Linked DNA regions of Arabidopsis thaliana. The protein of the gene in region 3 purifies or fractionates together with the protein of the main gene of each other region. This does not show direct contact. Each region holds a gene or a part of one and is shown on either strand. Other genes may lie near its edges.

Evidence for each region.
Region 1: the proteins of SERAT1;1 (region 3) and OASB purify together in Arabidopsis thaliana (affinity purification with mass spectrometry, with the first as the bait; one study listed by BioGRID). This does not show direct contact.
Region 2: the proteins of SERAT1;1 (region 3) and CYSD1 purify together in Arabidopsis thaliana (affinity purification with mass spectrometry, with the first as the bait; one study listed by BioGRID). This does not show direct contact.

Annotation. Positions count from the first base shown.
Region 1 is NC_003071.7:18,127,484-18,135,519, reverse strand, and holds OASB (O-acetylserine (thiol) lyase B), read left to right. Parts: upstream 1-2,881; 5' UTR 2,882-3,197; coding exon 3,198-3,440; intron 3,441-3,626; coding exon 3,627-3,736; intron 3,737-3,823; coding exon 3,824-3,881; intron 3,882-3,984; coding exon 3,985-4,248; intron 4,249-4,518; coding exon 4,519-4,656; intron 4,657-4,788; coding exon 4,789-4,840; intron 4,841-4,925; coding exon 4,926-5,005; intron 5,006-5,112; coding exon 5,113-5,172; intron 5,173-5,300; coding exon 5,301-5,381; intron 5,382-5,678; exon of another isoform or gene 5,679-5,823; coding exon 5,824-5,916; 3' UTR 5,917-6,085; downstream 6,086-8,036. Other genes in the region: AT2G43770 (Transducin/WD40 repeat-like superfamily protein), read left to right, coding at 217-1,248; AT2G43760 (molybdopterin biosynthesis MoaE family protein), read right to left, coding at 1,648-2,244; AT2G43745 (jacalin lectin-like protein), read left to right, coding at 6,165-6,542, 6,629-6,661; AT2G43740 (Mannose-binding lectin superfamily protein), read left to right, coding at 7,636-7,890, 8,018-8,036. UniProt on the Arabidopsis thaliana protein: Acts as a major cysteine synthase.
Region 2 is NC_003074.8:1,362,046-1,369,795, forward strand, and holds CYSD1 (cysteine synthase D1), read left to right. Parts: upstream 1-3,044; 5' UTR 3,045-3,237; intron 3,238-3,432; exon of another isoform or gene 3,433-3,610; 5' UTR 3,611-3,635; coding exon 3,636-3,677; intron 3,678-3,785; coding exon 3,786-3,895; intron 3,896-4,012; coding exon 4,013-4,070; intron 4,071-4,158; coding exon 4,159-4,422; intron 4,423-4,503; coding exon 4,504-4,641; intron 4,642-4,715; coding exon 4,716-4,767; intron 4,768-4,879; coding exon 4,880-4,959; intron 4,960-5,058; coding exon 5,059-5,118; intron 5,119-5,196; coding exon 5,197-5,277; intron 5,278-5,373; coding exon 5,374-5,463; 3' UTR 5,464-5,799; downstream 5,800-7,750. Other genes in the region: AT3G04920 (Ribosomal protein S24e family protein), read left to right, coding at 1-20; AT3G04930 (DNA-binding storekeeper protein-related transcriptional regulator), read left to right, coding at 984-2,354; LCR41 (low-molecular-weight cysteine-rich 41), read right to left, coding at 6,203-6,390, 6,576-6,633; LCR18 (low-molecular-weight cysteine-rich 18), read right to left, coding at 7,069-7,238, 7,427-7,487. UniProt on the Arabidopsis thaliana protein: Acts as a cysteine synthase. The cysteine synthesis reaction is more efficient than the cyanoalanine synthase activity.
Region 3 is NC_003076.8:22,958,930-22,965,231, forward strand, and holds SERAT1;1 (serine acetyltransferase 1;1), read right to left. Parts: upstream 3,785-6,302; 5' UTR 3,654-3,784; coding exon 3,210-3,653; intron 3,064-3,209; coding exon 2,569-3,063; 3' UTR 2,300-2,568; downstream 1-2,299. Other genes in the region: NDL1 (N-MYC downregulated-like 1), read left to right, coding at 1-61, 136-233, 324-412, 497-557, 649-813, 906-962, 1,060-1,115, 1,227-1,362 and 1 more; AT5G56770 (transcription repressor-like protein), read right to left, coding at 4,065-4,304, 4,424-4,826, 4,939-5,060; ET2 (effector of transcription2), read right to left, coding at 5,455-6,302.

The DNA of each region.
Region 1 (8,036 bases), on a different chromosome or scaffold from region 3:
GGCTTTACTTAGAATGTGCAGGTTTCATGATACTTCTTGGTGTTTACTATCTGCTTTTCGGATGTTATATTGATTAATGGCTTGAAAATTTTGAAATTGAGATATCTATAAAAGCTACACAGCTGTGTGAATATTGTTATAATTCGCTCAATCTTCTGATTCGTTTTCTCATGGAATCCAGGTTCTAACTTGATTACCAGTGAGAAGTAGGCTAAGATGGAAATCATGTCAAGAGAGAATGAGACTGCTTTGTCAGGTCCTAGGCCGATGGAATGGTCTACCGTCCCACACAGTGCTTCTCAAGGACCTGGTCCCAATGGCAAGAACCGGACCTCGAGCTTGGAAGCACCTATCATGTTGCTAAGTGGACATCCGAGTGCTGTCTATACCATGAAGTTCAATCCTGCTGGAACTCTGATTGCATCTGGATCCCATGACAGAGAAATCTTCCTCTGGAGAGTTCACGGGGACTGCAAAAACTTCATGGTTTTGAAAGGTCACAAGAACGCCATCCTTGATCTTCATTGGACCAGTGATGGCTCCCAGATTGTATCAGCTAGTCCGGATAAAACTGTAAGGGCTTGGGATGTTGAGACTGGGAAACAAATCAAGAAGATGGCTGAACATTCATCGTTTGTGAATTCTTGCTGTCCTACACGTAGAGGGCCACCTCTTATCATCAGTGGATCTGATGATGGAACTGCCAAGCTTTGGGACATGCGTCAAAGAGGAGCCATACAAACATTTCCTGATAAATACCAAATCACTGCAGTCAGTTTCTCAGATGCAGCTGATAAGATTTTCACTGGTGGTGTAGACAATGATGTTAAGGTTTGGGACTTGAGAAAAGGTGAAGCCACCATGACACTTGAGGGCCATCAAGATACAATCACAGGTATGAGCTTAAGCCCAGACGGTTCCTACCTTCTCACTAATGGAATGGACAACAAGCTCTGTGTGTGGGACATGCGTCCTTATGCTCCACAAAACCGATGTGTAAAGATCTTTGAGGGGCATCAACACAACTTTGAGAAGAACCTGCTGAAATGTTCATGGTCACCTGATGGTACAAAAGTTACTGCCGGTAGCTCAGACCGTATGGTTCATATCTGGGACACAACCAGTCGGCGCACTATATATAAGCTCCCAGGCCATACCGGTTCTGTCAATGAGTGTGTTTTCCACCCAACCGAGCCTATCATTGGATCTTGCAGTAGTGATAAAAATATCTACTTGGGAGAGATCTGAATTTCAAAGCTGTGAAACCTTTGCAACTCTAAGTGGAATTGAAGTCTTTAGAATCGACGATGTGCTTTGAGACATTTTGTTTATTGAAAGAAAAAACGAAACATTGCTCTTTGGTACAAGTAATCAAGATTTGTTATCTCCTGTAATATCTTCATTACGCTCTTTATCTTCTTCTACTTTAACAGATGAGGTCATCATTTTAGTTCTCCTTAAAATTGTTATCTTTGGTATTACAATCTTGCAGTATCTTCGATTAGATTCTTACAGATTCAAGCAGTAGCAAGTATAAGCCCAGTCCAGTAACCAACTAACGCATATAAGTCTTTAGATTCAACAATGTGCTTAAGAAAGTTTGTCTATTGAAAGTAAAAAGCGAAACAGTGTTACTGCTACAAGTGATCAAGAAGAAGATTTGTTATCTCCTGTAATATCTTTATGCTCTTCATCTTCTTCTACTCTAACTTTGCTTCCACAGCAACCTCTTCTTCTATGTTCTTCAACCACAGTTTTTTTTACAATGCTGTCTCTTTTCTCTGCAAGCTCCAATCTTTTCTCCATAAACTCAGAATTCTCCTTCCAAATCTCTCCATTAGTGTAAACCTCTTTCTTCCATATCGGAACCGATGCCTTCAACTCGTCGATCAAGAACTTGCAAGCATCTAAACCATCTGCACGGTGAACAGATGAGACCGCAATGAGCACGCTAGTTTCTCCAACAGGAACTGGTCCAAGACGGTGAGCAACAGCAATCTTGTGGATATCCCAAGTTGATCTAGCAGTTGTACAGATCGAGCTGAGGCATCGTGTGGCCATTGGCACATATGCTTCATACCTTAACTCCAACACTGTCTTGCCCTCGAACATGTCTCTTGTAGTGCCTGAGAATGTCGCAATAGCACCAGCTTGAGGGGCACTGACATAATCAATGTACTTAACAACATCGACTTTGTGACCTTCCTCCAAGATCTCTATAAGGTTCTTCTCCTCTGCAGACATCTTTGATCCAATAGTAAACCTCGATACAATCGATGTTCTAGGAAGAGTAAACCAAGCTTAGCAGATGATCCGATAGCAAATTCTAACCTGCAATTGGAGGAAATAAACAACCATGACTATCTCATCACCTATCATCCAAAACTAATCAAACAGACAATTTGTTTAGTCAAAGGCAAACAGAGCAAATGAGGAACCTTTCTTGCGCAATCTAATGGCAATCACATCTTACTAATCCAGAAATGGAAGAGTCAAATCAACAAAGTAGGAGAATAGTGGACCAATGAACAAACTCAAAAAACGATGTCTCAAATCGGATTAAGAATTTGCCAAATCGGTCAATTTTTATTGAATCAGACAAAAACAGCAAAGGCACAAAACTCGTCTACAAAACTGACCAAAGTTCGAGTTTTTGTAAGATTGAGGATCGAATGGATAGAATCATAGAAAGACAGAGATAACGACAAAGAAGAATCGTCTCTTTCAGTACCTTACTACACTAAAAGTTTGTAATAACTTTAACAGCTACCCAGAAATTAAAAGAAGGCAAAGAACAAAAAGAGATCCAGAAAGATTTTATCTGACCTTTGAGAGTTTGGTAGGGCTGCATGATGAAGAAGAACATGTGCTCTATATTCACCTTCTTGTTGGATCAGACTAGTAGGTTGGTGAGATTGTAAAAAACAAAACTTTACTAATTCAATTTCAAAGTCTCTTCTTTTCTCCAGATACTCTGTTTTACCATTCAAGGAAAAAGGATAAATCTTGTAGAAAGAAGATGCCAAAATGATTTTTTTATTTAGAAATTAAACAGCGACGTCGTTTTGCAGCTACAGTGCGATCATCTAATCAGTCAGTGTCTTCAAGTTTAAACCGCATCTCTAGTCTCTCTCTACTTCTCTCTGTGTACAATATTCGGAAAGTGAGGAAGATACACTGAAGCAAAAGAGCAAGTCATGGCGGCGACATCTTCCTCTGCTTTTCTCCTTAATCCGTTGACTTCTCGCCACCGTCCTTTCAAATACTCGCCAGAGCTCTCTTCTCTCTCCTTATCCTCTCGAAAGGCTGCTGCTTTCGATGTTTCCTCAGCTGCTTTCACGCTCAAGAGACAGAGCCGGAGTGATGTTGTGTGCAAGGCTGTATCTATCAAGCCAGAAGCTGGTGTTGAAGGGCTCAATATCGCCGATAACGCCGCTCAGGTTAGATTGTGTTTCGTTTGCATTTGGATAGAGACAGAGGAAATCTAAATTGGTGATCAATTTTGTCAATTTAGGGGAAGATATAAACTAACTGAGTATTATTAGTCTTGTAAATTTGACTTCTTTGAATTTTGATTTCGTTTCTAATTTTTTTATATTCTTTCTGAATGTTATGAATTGATTCAGCTTATTGGGAAAACTCCGATGGTGTACTTGAACAATGTAGTCAAGGGCTGTGTTGCAAGTGTTGCTGCTAAGCTTGAGATCATGGAACCATGTTGCAGTGTCAAGGATAGGTTTGTGTATCCAAATATAATTTGATTTTGGTTTTGCTATCTTTCACATTTATACATTCTGAGCTTGTGTTGTTGTGGTGATTTCAGGATTGGGTACAGTATGATTACTGATGCTGAAGAGAAAGGACTTATAACACCTGGAAAGGTATTTGATTATGGATTTGACCTTTTATTGTTGTTGAATGATTCTGTATTGAGTGTCAACTGTCAAGCCCTCTGATTTTGTTTTCTTGCTGCAAATGTTTTAGAGTGTTCTTGTGGAATCTACGAGTGGGAACACAGGGATTGGCCTTGCATTCATTGCTGCTTCAAAAGGCTATAAACTTATCTTGACGATGCCTGCGTCCATGAGTTTGGAAAGGCGGGTTCTTTTGAGGGCATTTGGAGCTGAGCTTGTGTTAACTGAACCTGCAAAAGGTATGACTGGAGCAATTCAGAAGGCTGAAGAAATCTTGAAAAAAACTCCCAATTCCTACATGCTCCAACAGTTTGACAACCCTGCCAATCCCAAGGTCTGTAATTACTTCTTGTTTCATCATACTCTCTAACTGTGACATGAATTATGAGCTACGATTACTTCTGGCCTTGTACAGTAGTAAGAGGTGGTGTGTGAAAGGGTTCATTAGAGATGATAGTGAAATTCTTCCGCACTTCCTTTTGGATTGTTGTAGAGTTTCTATGGTATACAGTTTTGAATCATCACGATTATATCTGGGATTCACTGGTTCCATTGGTAAAAGCTGCAAGTATTTGTTAGTGTTTTGATATAAGATTAAATGCAGATTCATTATGAGACGACTGGTCCTGAGATTTGGGAAGATACAAGAGGCAAAATCGATATATTGGTTGCGGGGATTGGAACTGGTGGAACTATCACTGGTGTTGGTCGATTCATTAAAGAAAGAAAACCTGAATTGAAGGTACATAGCAAGAGGGCTTGTAGCATATCAGCTGGAATCAACTGTAGATGTTATAACCTCCGTAATTAGATTTAGTTGATGTTTACTTGTACTTGTAGTTATATTTAATTAGTTGATGTTTACTTGTACCAGGTTATTGGTGTCGAACCCACGGAAAGTGCTATACTTTCTGGTGGAAAACCCGGTAAGGCAGTGATTTTGTTTTTCTTGTTTCTCTGGCACGTTATTCTTTTTATCTTGCGTTTATTTGACATGTATTTGAAATGCAGGACCTCACAAGATTCAAGGAATTGGAGCTGGATTTGTACCCAAGAATTTGGATCTGGCTATTGTAGATGAATACATAGCGGTATGATCTGTTGGTTTGGTTCTCTATAACTATACATTCATCTTTTTCACTTTCAGCAAGCAACAATTTTCCTTTTTAACTTCACCTGTTTTGTTGCTTCTTATCAGATTTCCAGTGAGGAAGCTATTGAAACCTCGAAGCAACTAGCTCTCCAGGAAGGCTTGTTGGTTAGTCTATATTTGTTATTCTGTTTGACTTATTTGTTAGTGGGAACACTCTTTATAAAAGATAGAAAACGAATGTAAATGCATATGAGAAATCTATGACGATTAGTAAACGACTATAACCTTTTCAGGTTGGTATATCTTCTGGAGCTGCTGCTGCTGCTGCAATCCAGGTTGCAAAGAGACCTGAAAATGCCGGGAAACTCATAGCCGTAAGTCCTCAATGTTCTTCATCATAATTTCTTTATGGACCAAAACCTAGTCTTGTATCTGTGACCAACCACTGAATGATATAGAAAAAGAGTTCTTAAGTTATCTAATCATGAACCTTGGTCCTTTTAGAGTCTTACTACTTATTTTAACATTTGTATTTGAGTAGTTGGTTTGGTTTATACGTCTAATGAACGTTTACGTTGCCTTAATCTCTCTGCCACACCAAACCCTAGTCATTGCAAAGAACAAGAGAGGAGCTTAATCTCTCTGCCACACCAAACCCTAGTCATTGCAAAGAACAAGAGAGGAGCTTATTATTCAATTACTATAGCCCAACGTAGGGAATCAGTGAAAGGATTTTAGCTTAGTATGGAGTAAAAAATATAACAGATTCATCATATGTATAGTTTGATATGTGAGTTGCTGAATCTTGGTTTTCAGGTTGTGTTCCCGAGCTTCGGGGAACGTTACCTCTCGACCCAGCTTTTCCAGTCGATTCGAGAAGAGTGCGAGCAAATGCAGCCCGAGCTTTGATTTTCTTCTGTAATTTCGTGACCAACAAGGAACCTCTTCTTTGATTTATTGCTGATTGTTTTTCTTCTAATAGACGTTTCTGCAGAAATCTCTACGTCTACTGTGTATATTTACAATTCGCAACGCAATTTGGTGTTTGTTATTAATAAAGGCATAAGAGGTTTTGGTCAAACGAAGAGTCTTCTTCTTGAGCACAATTTTCGAGCGTTTTGTTTAATGTACCTGGAAACTTGTTTAGCTTTCTCCCAATGGAATCCATAAATGAAAGTTATGACGACTCTTCGAGTTTTGGACAAGACAGTCTCCTATATAATCGTCCTTTCGCCTATCTATATCTCTCCTTCCACTTAAAACTATTGTACTCTGTGCCTGCTTCTTATATAGCGATGATAAGAGCAGGATCAGTGGGAAAAAAATCGACATGTGAGTATACTTATTGGGACGACGGTGTTGGAGAAGAGGTGATGGGTGACGATAGTTGGGATTACGAGGGACGCAAGATCTCTCACATATATGTTGCTTTCGACGAAGTCATAATGTCTATTCAGTTTGGTTTTTTGGAGAATGGAGCTCTAGTCCTGTCTAAACAGCATGGTGGCATTGAGGAGGGCTCCAACTTTCGTGTTGTAAGTTTTGTGTCAATAACAATTATTTATTTTTGCGTTTGCGTAAGATCCGGTCAAGTTTTGTTTTTGATGAAGTTTAAACGCAGTTGAGACTGAATCAAGACGAATATGTAACTTGATTAAGTGGAGTACTAAGAAAGCATGGTGGAGGGATCAGAAATTTGACATTTCGCACTAACGTCGGGGAGTATATGATTGGACGTTCAAGCGACAATTATCCAAATCATTGGAAGATAGATATTGATCCGGCAATATGTGATGAACGTGAGTTTGGTGGTTTCTTTGGGTCTAACAATTTATACCATCTGACATCGATTGGTATGTATTTGAGACCCATTACAAGTCTCGACATGGTTGTTAAACGCGAAAACAGTTGACCAAGAAAGCCTTGTAGCCTAGTTCAAGTTGCCTGTTGAGTTTTATCTTAAATAAAGTAGCATTTTTGGATCAATCATCTTTCTATTTCTCAACTCTCAAGTAATAATAAAAAATGGTCCCATTTCTTCCTTTATTATTTGTTTTTGTAAATTTGTGCTCCATTTTCTTGTGATGAAAAACGAAATGTTTAAATGACAAAATTCGAAGTCACGAATCATTTCATGTATAGTATACCCAAAGATGATGCATCATTTGTTACTAATAACGTATTATGACTTTTTGGCTCACGAATTCTATAGACGGAAGGAACCAGCATCTTAATTAAATATTTGGAAAAATCTTTAGACGCATCTAATGTTCTTAAATCTATGGAAAATCGGCATCTTAACTGTTAGCAAAGAAAAAAAAAGGCTTTAACTATTACTAGTATCCTTAGATGAATATAGCTTTAAATAGGTAAACTATAGCTATAAAGTAAATAACAAATAAGCAAGGAGATTAAATATTTATAGTTACTTTTTTGTTCTTCGAATTTAGTAAATTTACTGTTTTCAAGTTGCTTTACATTTTGATTAAGGAAGTTTTCTTAGAGAGATTAGGTATGTAAAGCTTTTCTTCGTCTATATATAAGTATAGATCGTCCTCAGAAGAACAAATTGTTTTATTAAGAAAATATTTTAATCCGAGCTTAATTCTTTCGTCTGCTATATTCTAAATGAAATCCCGTGGTAGGGAGATGTTCAAAGTCGGACCAATTGGGTCACAACGTGCTTATCTTAAGAATTTGGAATGGGAAGAGAAGGGACGCAACATGATCTCTAGTATATATGTCGCTTTCGACAAAGATACCATAAATTCTATTCAGTTTAGCTATTGTCAGAACGGAGGTCATGTCGTGTCTAAAAAGTATGGTATGTCTGATGCCCAAAAACAAAAGTATGGTTCGTACAACGGTCGATTCCACGTAATGGTAAGTTTTGTTATAATACATCTTCATGTTTTTTCTTCCTTCTGATAGTTATAATATCTGGTAATTTTTCTTAGTGGAATCTTTACATTTTGTTTATGTAATTAACATTGTTGTTCATCATGTATAGTTTGTTTTTGCTCTTGTTA
Region 2 (7,750 bases), on a different chromosome or scaffold from region 3:
GTGATGCCAAGAAGAAGTGAGATCCTGAAGAGAGAATCTTTATCTTGTGGGTTCTTGTTCTCCATAATCAATCACCTTTTATGTTATTTGTCCGCTGTTAGATCGTTTCTCCAACTAGACATGTTTACTGAAATCTGAGATTTTCGTTTATTTTTGTTTTGGTCAGTTTATGTTTTGAGTTTAGAGAAACATATGATCCAAGGTTTTTGTTCAATACAACTATTTAATCTCTCTCTCGTCTCTTTCCACCATTCCCATGCGCAGCAGATATAAGCATTTTCTTGTTCCTTAGGTGATTTAATTCTTGATCGGTTACTCGTGCGGCTGTGTTTGATTGTAAACGTGAGTCTCTCTGGCTATTATCGATGTTATTTACCCACATATAATGAAAATTTACTTAGATCATAATTATGAAATCTCGCAAAGTTTCTAATTTATTATATCACTTTTGCTCCTTACTATTTTAATGGAAAAACTGTGATAATTACATGTCAATCACTGAATTTGAACAGTAATTATAATTTTCTATACCGCACAACATATGCTTATTTTGGTTTTGGGTACTGTCTTATTAGTTACATACGGTTTAGGTTGGCTTGTTTGTTTGTTTTGTCCTAGCTAATCACGTTAATGAAAACGCTCTACCAAATAACCGCGTTTAGAAAACGCTATTAGTTACCGAGTGTGGTTGGGACCGAGTGAGGACGTCACGGCTCCAACCAATCCGCAAATAAGGAAGCGCGTGTGTGTAAGTAGTGGGTGACCACTTTGCCTAGTCTTAAACGTTAAGTCTGGAAATACCAAAACTACCCCTGGTTTGGTCGAAGATTCTCACGCCCCTACCACCCAACCCAATCACAATCCTCGTGAACGAACACACCACCTTCTCTCCAATCTGGATCTGGTTCCTCTTCTTCTTGGTCTCTTCTCCATCTCATCGGAGCTGATCTCGAATTGTTCTCCGTTCATTTGTTACGGTGGAGATGACATCGGATCACCGCGACGCTCTTTTCTCTCTGGAACTGGAATCGCCTGATCCGGACGAAGGAGGTGTAGCAGACGGAGGAGAATCTGATACCGACGAGGATTTGCGCGACAACGATGATGTTGTTATGCCGGGAACGAACGAAGCTGAAGCTGAAGACGACGATCCCGAAGAGGAAGATCTCAATTCTCCGTCTACATCATCACTCCCCATGGTTTCTACGATCTCAGCGACTGCTGTTGTTTCCGGGACCCCGACGGCGACTTCCTCTACAGGCGCCGTGACCGTTGCACTTCCGGCTGGATCCGCCGTCCCTGTCTCCGTGATTCCCGTTGATTCCGATCCGAAGTGGCACCGTATGACGGAGATCGTCCATCAGAGACCACCGATCGATGATTCTAGACGCCTTTTCCAGAGGCTGTGGACAGACGAAGACGAGATCGAGCTTCTTCGTGGTTTTCTCGATTACATGACGATGCACCGCGGAAGCAGCTCGCATCCGCCGGATACGGCGCCGTTTTATGAGCAGATAAAGTCGAAACTTCAGCTGGATTTCAACAAGAACCAGCTGGTGGAGAAGCTTCGGAGATTGAAGAAGAAGTACAGGAATGTGATGAGCAAGATCAGCTCTGGTAAAGAGGTATTCTTCAAGAGCCCTCATGATCAGTCTACTTTCGAGATTTCTAGAAAAATCTGGAACCAAACTGGGAAAATCATAGGCTTTGAAGATAACAACGTAATGGATTTCGAAGAAACCAATAACCATCATAACACCACCAATGGTAACTACTCAACCTTTAACAGCCCTAGTTCTAATCCTACTCTGGAGCTCGACTCCGAAAATGGAATCGAGAAGAAATTGACAATGAGTAGCAGTAGCGTGTCGAGAAAACGATCACGATCAAGAATTGGGAAGATTGAGGAAGACAACAAACCTGTCATCACTCCCTCTGATGGGCCAATAGCTAGCAATGTCAACCTCAACGAAGCTGCAGCTGTTGGTATTGGAGGAAATCTCGGGGGTTTGATCGAAGAGACTGTGAAAAACTGTGTCTCTCCTGTGATCAAAGAGATGATGAATGGGACAACAAGTATGATGATGGCTGCAATGGGAGGAGGGTTTCCGGGTCTTGGTGGTGGTGGTGGTGGTGGTGGTGGTCATGGTTTTGGCTCGCTAAGCCCCATGTTTACACGGCCGTTCAATTTCGGTTTTGGTGTAGAGGGAGGAGGAAACAAGGCGGTTGCAGATGAGCGGTGGAGGAAACAACAGATTCTGGAATTGGAAGTGTATTCAAGGAGATTAGAGTTGGTTCAAGAGCAGATTAGAACGACATTGAACGAGTTAAAGACGATGCCGAGTGGTATATGATGAAGGGCGAGAAGAATAAGACAACAAGGAACCATTTAGGTTGATATTTGATATCTTTGAGTTAACCTTCTGGTGTGTGAGTGAGTATAGTAAGAGATTTGGATCTTTTTAAGTTATAAATTGGTAAGGTATTGTGATCTTTCTCTAGGTTTTTTCATCATTTTGATTTTTTTTTCTTCTTCTTATCTTTAAATTATTTGTCAATAGGGATGAATCATAGGAGGGGGGTTTGTGTATAACCTTTTGTATTAGATTATAGTTCTTTTTTCGTAGAATCATTTGTTCAATAACAAACAGACTTTCTAGCTGTTTTTCTTTCAAAAAGAAGAAAAATAATAATTCTAAATTGTGTGCTACTCTTTCTTTGTCTAATAAAATCTGTAATAACATGTTTATTTCTAGATCGGATACTGTTATTGAAGTGTATTAAACTTTGACCTCTTTCTTTATCATGTTGATTAATGTAGTTACTTAAAAACTTTTGTGTTTGAAAAAAAGAACCAATGTTGTGTTTCTTGCTAGTACGCATCAGAAGATTCCTTTCCTGATTAAGTAAAAAAAAAAAGGCATAATCAAAACAATTTAAAGATTCAAGAAGGCAGAAACTTGTCCACGTGACGAGGCAAAGAATGTTAGGTAGGTTTGTTATTGACTTTATAGTTTATACAATGATTTTAACAAAATACCTATGGAAGATACATGATTATTTTTTATAAATGTATAAACGAGTGGATATATTTGGTGGTGGATGATGGTGTGTGTGTATATGCAAATAATTCACTTTATAAAAGCTTATCGCTAATTTGACAGAACACTAGAACAGTTCTCTCTTTTTGTCGACAGTCTTCTTCTTCTTCTTCTTCTTCGATTGGATCTGGAACTGGTAAGCTCTTCTATAAGTCTCTGGTTTTGTATCTTTCGAACTGTTCTTTTGTTTCTCTCTCCAAAAATTTCAAACTTTCATAATTTCGCCTCCTCAAGTTCGATTTCAGCTCAAGAACACGAATGCTTCACTCACTTGTTTCATTGTTAAATCTTATATTTAGTTTGATACTCATGTTTTCTGCTGTTCGATTTTTTTTTTTCTCTGATTTATATTCGAGTTTGAACTTAAATCATGGTTTTGGTTTCACTTTACAATTTTGGATCTCATGCAGTTTCAAAACACTCTTCGATTTATATGAATGTTTTATATTATTAGGGACATTGCTTGCAGACTGTGTCTTAAATCTTTTTGATTTTCTTGTGATCTTCAGAACTCAAATTGGGAAGAATTTTGACATGGAGGAGGACCGGTGTTCGATCAAGGATGATGCAACTCAAGTAATCATAATCTTTCAGTTGTCTTTTTTAATCAACTGCTTCACTGGAATAAAGTTCTAGTTCCTTTGCTCAAGTAAAATGTACTTAGTTCCTTGCATACTGTGTCAGTTGATAGGTAACACCCCAATGGTATATCTGAACAACATTGTGGATGGTTGTGTAGCTCGTATTGCAGCTAAGCTTGAAATGATGGAGCCTTGCTCTAGTGTCAAGGAGCGGTATATATACAAATAACCCTCTCTCTATCTCTTTTGTCTGCTCCAAGCAATGTTTGTTCTTTTGTGTGTGTTTCTGAGAAATATCTTGTTTCTTTTGATTGATCCTTCGCTTGCTAGAATTGCTTATGGTATGATTAAAGATGCAGAAGACAAGGGATTGATTACTCCTGGGAAGGTAGATCAGATTATATCATACATTCGTGTTTTTTCGTTTTCGCCATTAAAAATCAAACTGATACTTGGATCCTGGTGGTTTTACTCAGAGCACACTGATTGAGGCTACCTCTGGTAACACCGGGATTGGTTTAGCCTTCATCGGTGCAGCTAAAGGTTACAAAGTGGTCCTCACAATGCCCTCATCAATGAGCCTTGAGAGAAAAATCATTCTTTTAGCATTAGGTGCGGAGGTTCACCTCACAGATCCTAGTAAAGGCGTTCAAGGAATAATCGACAAAGCTGAAGAGATATGTAGCAAAAATCCAGATAGTATCATGCTAGAACAGTTCAAAAATCCTTCAAACCCGCAAGTATGGACTCTCCTTTCACATTACATTTGCTCTTCTTCTCTCTCTATCTATATTTATCAATCTAAATTGATTATTCTGCAGACTCATTATCGAACCACGGGTCCAGAGATATGGAGAGACTCTGCAGGGGAAGTAGACATATTGGTTGCCGGTGTTGGAACTGGTGGAACGCTTTCCGGATCAGGAAGATTCCTCAAGGAGAAGAATAAAGACTTTAAGGTAGAGAAACTTTTATTGAAGTCCAACCATAGTAGTTATAGATTTGGCTTTTCAAGCACTTCTCTTATCAACAGGTTTATGGTGTGGAACCTACAGAAAGTGCGGTAATAAGTGGAGGCAAACCGGGTGAGTTCAAATCTTGTTCTTGAGTCTAACATAAGTAAACATCATTCGAGGAGTTTCTTGCTGCTAAATCACTTTCTTGATCACATAACGGATACTGGTTTCCTGTTTGTAGGTACACATTTGATCCAAGGTATTGGGGCTGGACTCATCCCAGACAATTTGGATTTCAACGTTCTTGATGAAGTCATCCAAGTAATGTAGCTGAGGTTTTATCGGTGTTGTCTTTGTAAACGCGATGAGATGTCAGAGAAATCGTACTGAGATGTTGGTAATCTCCAATTCTTTTTTCAGGTGACAAGTGTGGAAGCAATTGAAACAGCCAAACTTCTTGCCCTGAAAGAAGGATTACTGGTAGAATCACTGGTTTAATTGGTTTTAACATTTTTATGTTCGTTTAAGCCATAAAACCAACATTTCTATGTCTGGCAGGTGGGAATATCTTCTGGAGCTGCTGCAGCCGCTGCGATAAAGGTGGCAAAGCGGCCAGAAAACGCCGGCAAACTCATAGTTGTAAGTAAAAAAACAGAATCATAACGTGTAGCAGATAATTTGCCATTTCACTGAGGTTTTAAAGAAAATGAATCGGTTACTGTCTGTTTTGTTTAGGTGATTTTCCCTAGCGGTGGGGAACGTTACCTATCGACCTCATTGTTCGAATCAGTCAGACATGAAGCAGAGAATTTGCCAATTCAATGAGGCTTTTACACGACCTGACTTGGTTCGTTTTGGTGAAAAAGTACCAAGATTTCGGTTCGACATTTACACTGTCATAGTTTCATGAACTTTAAGATTTCAGATGATGTATGATCTCTAATCTCTAGCCTCTAAGGTGGACTGTCCTTTGACATTCTATTGGTGGTTTTTTTCTAGCTAATATATGTGTAAGTCTGTAAAACTTTTGTTGACAATGAATCTAGAACTATATAATGGCCATGTAGGATTTCAACCCATGTTACTAGTAGTAGACAATTTGGCTAGAGGATTGTGGAAGAGGAAAAAGATCAGAGGACAAGAGACTATAAACAAACACATCATAGGTTTCACCTTTGAGACAAGTCTACTTCCTGAGCAAACCCTCTCTTTGAAACCCAAGCTTCTCAACAACTCTTTGGGACACTTAGTTTTGAGTTTGAACAAAAGCCTGAAGCCTCAAAACATGAGGCAAGTCATTGAACACTTGTGATACTGCACCTTAACTAGACTTATAAGTTGCTTAGAAAAAACATTGCTTAGCAACCAAAGAATTTGTGATTCCATCTCTAATATTCCTTCTTCATCGTCTTAACTCCTATAATAAAATCTTATATGTATAAAAAATAGTAAATGATAAAAGAAAAAGAAGGGAAATGATTTAGTTAATTATGTCTTGATCATTAATAGATTCAATGGATTAAAGATAACAATAGTTTTGGTCTTTTGGAGATAGAGATCGAGCTTAACAATCAAACCCACACCAGCATGTAGGATAAAAGAACTCAGGATGTTGTTTTGAAGGAGGAGATGGGTAATAACATGTTCCATTGCCTTTGTAGTCAGCCATGCACTTCTCTTTGCATTTCTCGTCTCCTTCACAAATCCATGAATTACTACACTTTTTTGCTTCTCCTATCATGATCCCGTTTTCTATATAATAACACAAACACAAGTTTATCAATATAAAAGAAGTGGAACCATTTTGTTATCTTTTTTCTCAGTTCCGAGTTCCAACCAAGGACACAACAAAATATTAATTTTGTCATCCTACTAGATATGGTAGATAAAGTGATCAGAATTAGTATATCAAACAATGTTTAAAGAAAAAATGTTACCTGAAGAAGAAATAACGAAAACGACAATAAGTATGAAAAGAAGAGAAGAGTTTTTCATTATCTTTTGGATTTGTGAATGTTGAGAGTAGGCTTCAACTAAATTTGTTTCTTCTAAGATATTCGACTATATTTATAAGAAAATATTTAATTTTGTACTTTTTGAACCTTTATATTTATTATATTTGGATTTTATCGCTCTGTTTTTTTTCTTTATATATATAATTGTATATCTAATTTCTACTTTAGTTTAGCATTTAAAGCAAAAAAACTGAAAAAATTTAAAACCTTAGATTTTATTTTTAACATATTATCAGCATTAAAACGCTTTAGATTTCTATTTCTACTTTATATTGACAGTTAATTGCTTTTTTTTTTTTTTTTTGGATTTTGTCACTCTTTTATAGATATCATTTTTAAATTCTTGTATTCCGGAAAAGAGAGAGGATTAGTTTATTCTTTTAATCACACGGATTAAGGGTTGTAATTAGCTTAATTAGCAATCATAGTGGCAAAAACATTGCTTAGGAACCAAAGGAGCAGTGTACAAATCACAGACTCCAACTCCATTGTGCAAAGTCAGACACTTTTCTCTGCATTTGTCTTCTCCTTCACAAGTCCACGTCTGGTCGCATTTCTTTGCTTCTCCTACCATCTTCTTGTTTCCTTTATTCATCAAAACATAAATATTAAATATTTGTTTTACATATTTCATCTTCTTCTCAGTTTCTTTTTTTGGAGGGTCTAAATTTTACCAGTTTTAAGTTTTAACTTTTAACAAGAAAAATACAAAGATATGTCAGATATAAAATTAATATATCAGACAATTAAAACAAAATAAAATAGCAATTTACCTGAAGAAGAAATGAGAAAAACAACAATAATTAGTACGAAGAGAATGGAAGAGTTCTTCATTCTTTGTGGGTTTGGGAAGATTGAAACGAAGACTTCTAAGTTTCTGATGTTTACAATTTTCAGATATCATTATATATATAGGCAAATATTTTAACTCCGTTGAAGAAAAACAAAACGACATAATTTTTTTTTGTTTTGTTTTTCGTCTATTTGTTATTTATATAAGTAGATTCTCTATAAATAAATTATGACTAGATAAGCATGGACATTAATATTTTGTATAAATTAAATTGTATACTTTGTTATGTTTGCTATGCTTGTCA
Region 3 (6,302 bases):
ATTGTCTATGGAGACAGAGAAAAGCCAGCATTGATTACTTATCCTGATTTAGCCCTAAACCGTAAGGCTAAAGAATCTCTATAGGCACTAATGTAATGGCTAAATTTATTAATGTTTTTGTTGTTTCTTCTTCAGATATGTCATGCTTCCAAGGGTTATTCTTCTGTCCTGAAGCAGCTTCATTGCTGCTTCATAACTTCTGCATTTACCATATCAGTCCACCTGGGCATGAGGTCCAATATTTTAGTTTCTCTTTTTTTAACTTGCCGTATGCTTTGCTTGACGTGATTACTTACTCACATGACTTCTCTGTTTTCTTGCAGTTAGGAGCTGCTCCAATTTGTCCTAATGATTCAGTCCCTTCTGCTGAAAACTTGGCAGATCAGATCCTTGAAGTTCTCAACTTTTTCGGGTAACGATGGAATCCCTTATTTTTGGCTTATTGAAGTTCTCAACTTTTGTTTTTCGGGTAACAATGTATAAGCTTTTTGTTCAGCCTTGGTGTTGTGATGTGTATGGGAGTGACTGCAGGTGCTTATATCCTCACCTTATTCGCGGTATGTTCCTATTTATTTTTCTCTTCTCATTGCCCATTGCTTCAGAAGAATACTGTGTTTATCATCTCTTCTATGTTTTAAAACTTTTCAGATGAAACATAGAGAACGGGTTCTTGGTTTGATTCTTGTCTCACCGTTATGCAAGGCGCCGTCTTGGTCTGAATGGTTTTACAACAAGGTTATCACAAACTTGTTATATTATTACGGAATGTGTGGAGTGGTAAAGGAATTTTTGCTTCAGAGATATTTTAGTAAGGTGTGTTCACTGCAGTTACCATTGCTCTCTCTCTGCACTTGTTGCATTTCCAGACTTCTCTTATTTAAACCGGTTGCAACTGCTTGCTACAGGAAGTCCGTGGTAACGTTGAGATTCCAGAGTCAGATATAGCACAAGCTTGCAGAAGAGTCAGTGTTTATCTCTTCTGTTGTTTTTCTGTTTCATCAATAGATTGATTTTACTGTATCAGTGATTCACACCTTGCACTTTTGGTGATTGTCTCAGCTGCTTGATGAAAGACAAGGCATAAACGTTTTGCGATTTCTTGACGCCATTGACCGGTAACACAACAAACACCTCGAAATCCTTTACCTTAGAAGCATTCATTCATTCATGGTGTCAAATATTGACTTTTCTTTAACTTTATGCAAACCAAACCTTTGCTCTTGCAGGAGACCTGACATCTCAAGTGGATTGAAGAAACTAAAATGCAGGACACTTATCTTCATCGGAGATCAATCTCCTTTCTACTCAGAAGCTGTTCACATGGCAGCAACTTTGGATAGAGGATACTGTGCTTTGGTTGAGGTTTGAGAAAACGAATCCTCATCCTTTGTACTTTACATATAAACACATGTTTGGTTTTCTTGCTACTAATAGATGTTTTCTTGGAAATATTATCAGGTTCAGGCTTGTGGTTCAATGGTAACAGAGGAGCAACCACATGCAATGTTGATCCCAATGGAATATTTCTTGATGGGTTACGGATTATACAGACCATCTCTTTTCTCCGAGAGCCCTAGAAGTCCACTTAGCCCTTCTTGTATTTCACCTGAGCTTCTCTCTCCTGAAAGCATGGGATTAAAGCTTAAGCCTATCAAAACCAGAATTTCGGCGGCTTAAGTGTGTGTGCACTACTGATTCATTGGTTCTAATTTTGCTGAGGAGAAGAAATCTTAGGGCTTTTGTAGATATAGAACAATACTAGGGAGATTTGAGAAGAAGAAGACGAAGAAGAAAAATTCAAGCCACCATCATATAACACATTCTTTTGTAGTCAGCCGACACGACAGTTCTCTTGTTAAGATGCCACAAAATGTTGTTTATTATTTCATTTTTTTATACATATGTAAAATGTTCTGTTCTTGTGACATTGTAACAATTGTTTTGTGACGAACTCTGCAGAAGCAAGTAATAAAATTCATTTTGCATTTTGTTTTTGGTTCTCTAATTGGCCTTACAAGCACATTGATTTCACCAAGTTAGAATCTGGTTTTTGCTTAATATTGATATTTAATGGTTTAACAGTCTTGATCCTGAACTATTTGGATCATCAGATTGAAACTTTTTAGTCTGAATTGAATTGTAAATGGAAATGGAGACCAATCCTTCTTTGCAGAAGCCGTAAGTTATATACTGATATAAGATACGCATAAGGATTAGTTGCGGTTGACGAAAACATAGTCCCTCATGAACCGGGGTAAAGGCGAAGAATGCTTCACTTAGTCTGAACAAGTTCAATGCTCCTCGATGTTTGTCAAGCCCGTAAAATGGATGCAGACAAGTGTAAATCCGAGCCAAACCCGAATACAAAGTAGAAGAAGTGTATAAACTCTTGGATAACTAATGATTGAATAATAACATCAAATTAAGGCCATTTCTTGTATTGAACATCGTAAGATGTTTTGTAAATTACAAATACAACAAAGCTCACTTACCTCAGCACCTCTCTATAAGCGAATGGTCAGAAAGTTTTTCACTTTCAAAACCACAGAAACAATTATAACAACAACTTTATATGATGTAATCTGACCATTCCGAGATGAATGAAGTATGATCCATCGATTCTCCAGGACATTCCTCATCATGAATCGTTGGCTTCTCTTTCCCTCCGACAAGTCTCGCCGGATTCCCAACCGCAGTACCTCGACAAGGCACGTCAATCAGCACAACAGAACCAGCTCCTACTTTAGCACCTGCACCAATCTTCACATTTCCAAGAATAGTCGCTCCAGCTCCAATCAAACAACCGTCACCGATCTTCGGATGTCTATCTCCACAAGCTTTACCTGTTCCACCTAGTGTCACATGGTGAAGGATTGAAACATTGTTCCCAATCACCGCTGTTTCTCCGACTACAACTCCGGTTGCGTGGTCTAGAAGTATCCCTTTTCCGATCTTCGCTGCTGGATGGATATCAACAGCGAATACATCGGAGATTCTTGAGTGTAGAGCTAATGCTAATGGCTTCCGTGATTGTGTCCATAGCTTGTGTGATACACGATGCGCCTAATTCAAATTCAACAAAGCCAAATCATGATCCGAAATTCGCATAACTGAAGAATCAACCTAACCTAACCTAAAACAATATTCATAAATCAAATCGCAAGATATAGAAATTGTGGATTCATCAGATCAAATGATGAAGATTTCACCTGAATAGCTAAGAAGCCTTTGTAATTGAGGAGACAATGAGAGAACGAGATACAAGCAGGATCACGAACACGAGCAGCGCGTAGATCTGCGACGGTGGCGTTACGAAGAGAAGGATCGGAGGAAAAAGTGTTTAAGAACAGATCGTATAAAAGTGTGGATAAAAGCGTTGAGGAACAAAGCTTGTTTCCTAGATGAAACGAGATAGATCGTTCAAGAGACGAATGAGAAAGAATCGTCGAATATAGATAGCTAGCTAAAGCTGGCTCCGCCTCAGCATCACGGCGAGCTTCCGCCTTGATCTGTGTCCATAATCCGGCAGCTTCCGCATCTGCAGCTGCCGCAGATATCGCTGCTGACGCTGCTTCTGCTTCATCGGATTGGGTAACGGAAGATAGTTTCTCCTTTGATGGAGATTGATGTCGGAGTTCTCCGGCCGGTGGCATATTAACGCGGCGATAAGATTCGATTTCTATCTCCTCCTACCTATAAAAGTTAATTTTCGAGACGCTCTTTAATCGTGCGGAAATTTTTAAATCCATAGATTAAAGACAATGATAGTCCACCTGGTGCGTGATTAACGTGATTTTTAGAAAATAAAATCGGAGCCGTCAGTTTTATGCTTTATCAATAACCGTTAGATTAGATTTATCTTTCCGTTAATCGACGGTGGTGATTCTGCCGACATTCTTACCAAACTTTTTCCGTAACAAATTTTTGATCAAAAAAAAAAAGAAACTATACAAATTAACTACTAACACTACAAATTTGAAACGTGAATAAGTGGGTTACAATCCAATTAATTTAGGAGAAACAAAAGCCATATCTTTGACCTAGTCGATGTAGGTTTACTCCGGTTAACCAAATGGTCTCATCACTTTGAGTGTTGAAGTGAGGAAAGTATAATTACTCTTCTCTACTTTGATGGTAACAACTTGGTCTCGAATAGAAGGAACTAGCACTTGTGACTTTCTCTTGCTCATAAACTCGGGGTCACCGAGCTTCTGTAACTCAAGATGGCGTCGTTCCCCATTACTGCATGTGTTCCATGCATAATCAAAAGTGCTCAAAAGCATCCCTTCTGTTGCAGCAGCTTCCTACTTAATTAGATCCCATCTGATAAATCACGGTAAAGCAGAGAAACAATCACATGAGTTAGGATCAAAGGTGTATACGTAGCAGACCAACTAGAGAAGATAAGAAGACATGTATTTACTGGTGCCCATCTATAAAAAACTGAGTATCCTTCCGAGAATATGTCCTCATATAAACCCGAGGGCAAATGACCACCGCGTCTTCCATAATCCTGGAGTCTTGATTTTACGTCTACACATTGTCCGACATATACACCAAGAACATTATTATCAGGATCAAAGTTTTGGCCTTGGTCTTGACCGATGACGCCTACACCGAGCTCATACAGACCCGTACAACGTTGAGGGGGTAAGTCCTCATGTCTGTATCTACGGACCCTTTCTTTTCTATTATTGAAATCTTTCCAATCATTGTGTCTTATAAGATTCCGCCATTTGGAGAATGCGATGTCGTGTATAGTCAGCTTGTAGTCTTCTCTCTTGAACATAGTGGGGACGGCGGAACTGAATTCCTTTCCGATCAATCTGGTGATACATTATGACCATTAATTTAAAGCCTGAAGGACCAATAATAGTAAGAAAAAAAACAGAGGATAAAAATGCAACAACATTGTGAATAGATGAGATGATAAGAGACCTATTGTTCAAGAGCTGACTTATCCCCGGCATAATGGTTGTGCTTTTTTGCGTGCTAATGATTGTGTGTCGTATATGGTTAAACTTCAACTTCGCCATCTTCGATAATAGAACAAACGACATTGTCAAACAAAATAAAACAGAACAAAACGGTTCTGCTACAGAAAAATAATGAAAGAAGGCAGCTCTGATATATTACGATCGTAGATATATGGAAGAAGCGAAGGGAAGTTGAAAAAGAAATGGGTCGTTTACAGTTTTTCGCATCATGGACAAGTAACAAAGTGGAGGCATGGCGGGAAACGGGTCTATGTATTTTTAAATCTAAAAACATCTAATGTAATGCAAAGATGCAAGTCAACGATGTTAATCAAAACTGATTTTAAATTTATAAAAAATGAGATTGTGAGTCATCCAGTACAGATGATTGTTCAGCAAACCAATACCGAAACCAAAACGGTTTTGGTACAAACAATTCTGGTTAGGTAACAAATAACATAAACAAGTGATGCAGAGGTTAGGTGATTCTCATTCCCTTATGCTCTTCACATCTCTTACGTCCTTTTACCGGAGATCTCTCACAGATCAATCCATTGCCTAATTTAACTCCACAAGCTACGTTTTTTGCTGCCTCTGGCTGAAAATATACCGGCGAAGTATCGCTGGAAGTTTTCTCCTTATGTTGCCAACACCTTTTGCTTCCTTTAGGAGAACTTCTTGTGCAAGGTAACCCATTCTTTGTTGTAGCTTCACAGAAGCGAGTCAAAGCTTCTTCTTCGATTGACTCGGTATGCGATTCGGGATCAGGTTTCTCGTCTTTGACGGTTTTCTCACGGTCAGTTTGGTTAAGAAGAAAAAGAAAAGCATTGATCCTCATGCCTTTATGATCCTCACATCGTTTTCTTCCAGGAACAGGTCTCTTATTGCAAGGTTCCATGTCAGGTAAGATCACTCCACACACAACATCAGAGTCTTTATGATTGTGATGATCTTGTCCAGTGAAAATCTCGGACTTTGGCGGTGTCTGTTTTTCGGGTGAAACACGGCAAACTCTCTGTCCTTTATGCTCTATGCATCTCTTTCTCCCTTTGACTGGACTTCTAATGCAACAGCCACCATCTTCAAGTAAGACTCCACAAACAATATCAGAACAAGAACCATCAACCTCATCAAATCTGTCTGAAACCGGTTGAGGTCTAGACCGGGTGAGTTTGAGTATTGAAGTGAGGAAATTATTACTCTTCTCTTCATCAACATCACAGGTTAGCTTCCTCTCTTCTTTAAGCACATGCTTCTCTCCTTTTATTCTGATACCAACTTGGTTCCGAAGAAAAGGAAACAGCATTCGAGATATACCGGACTTTC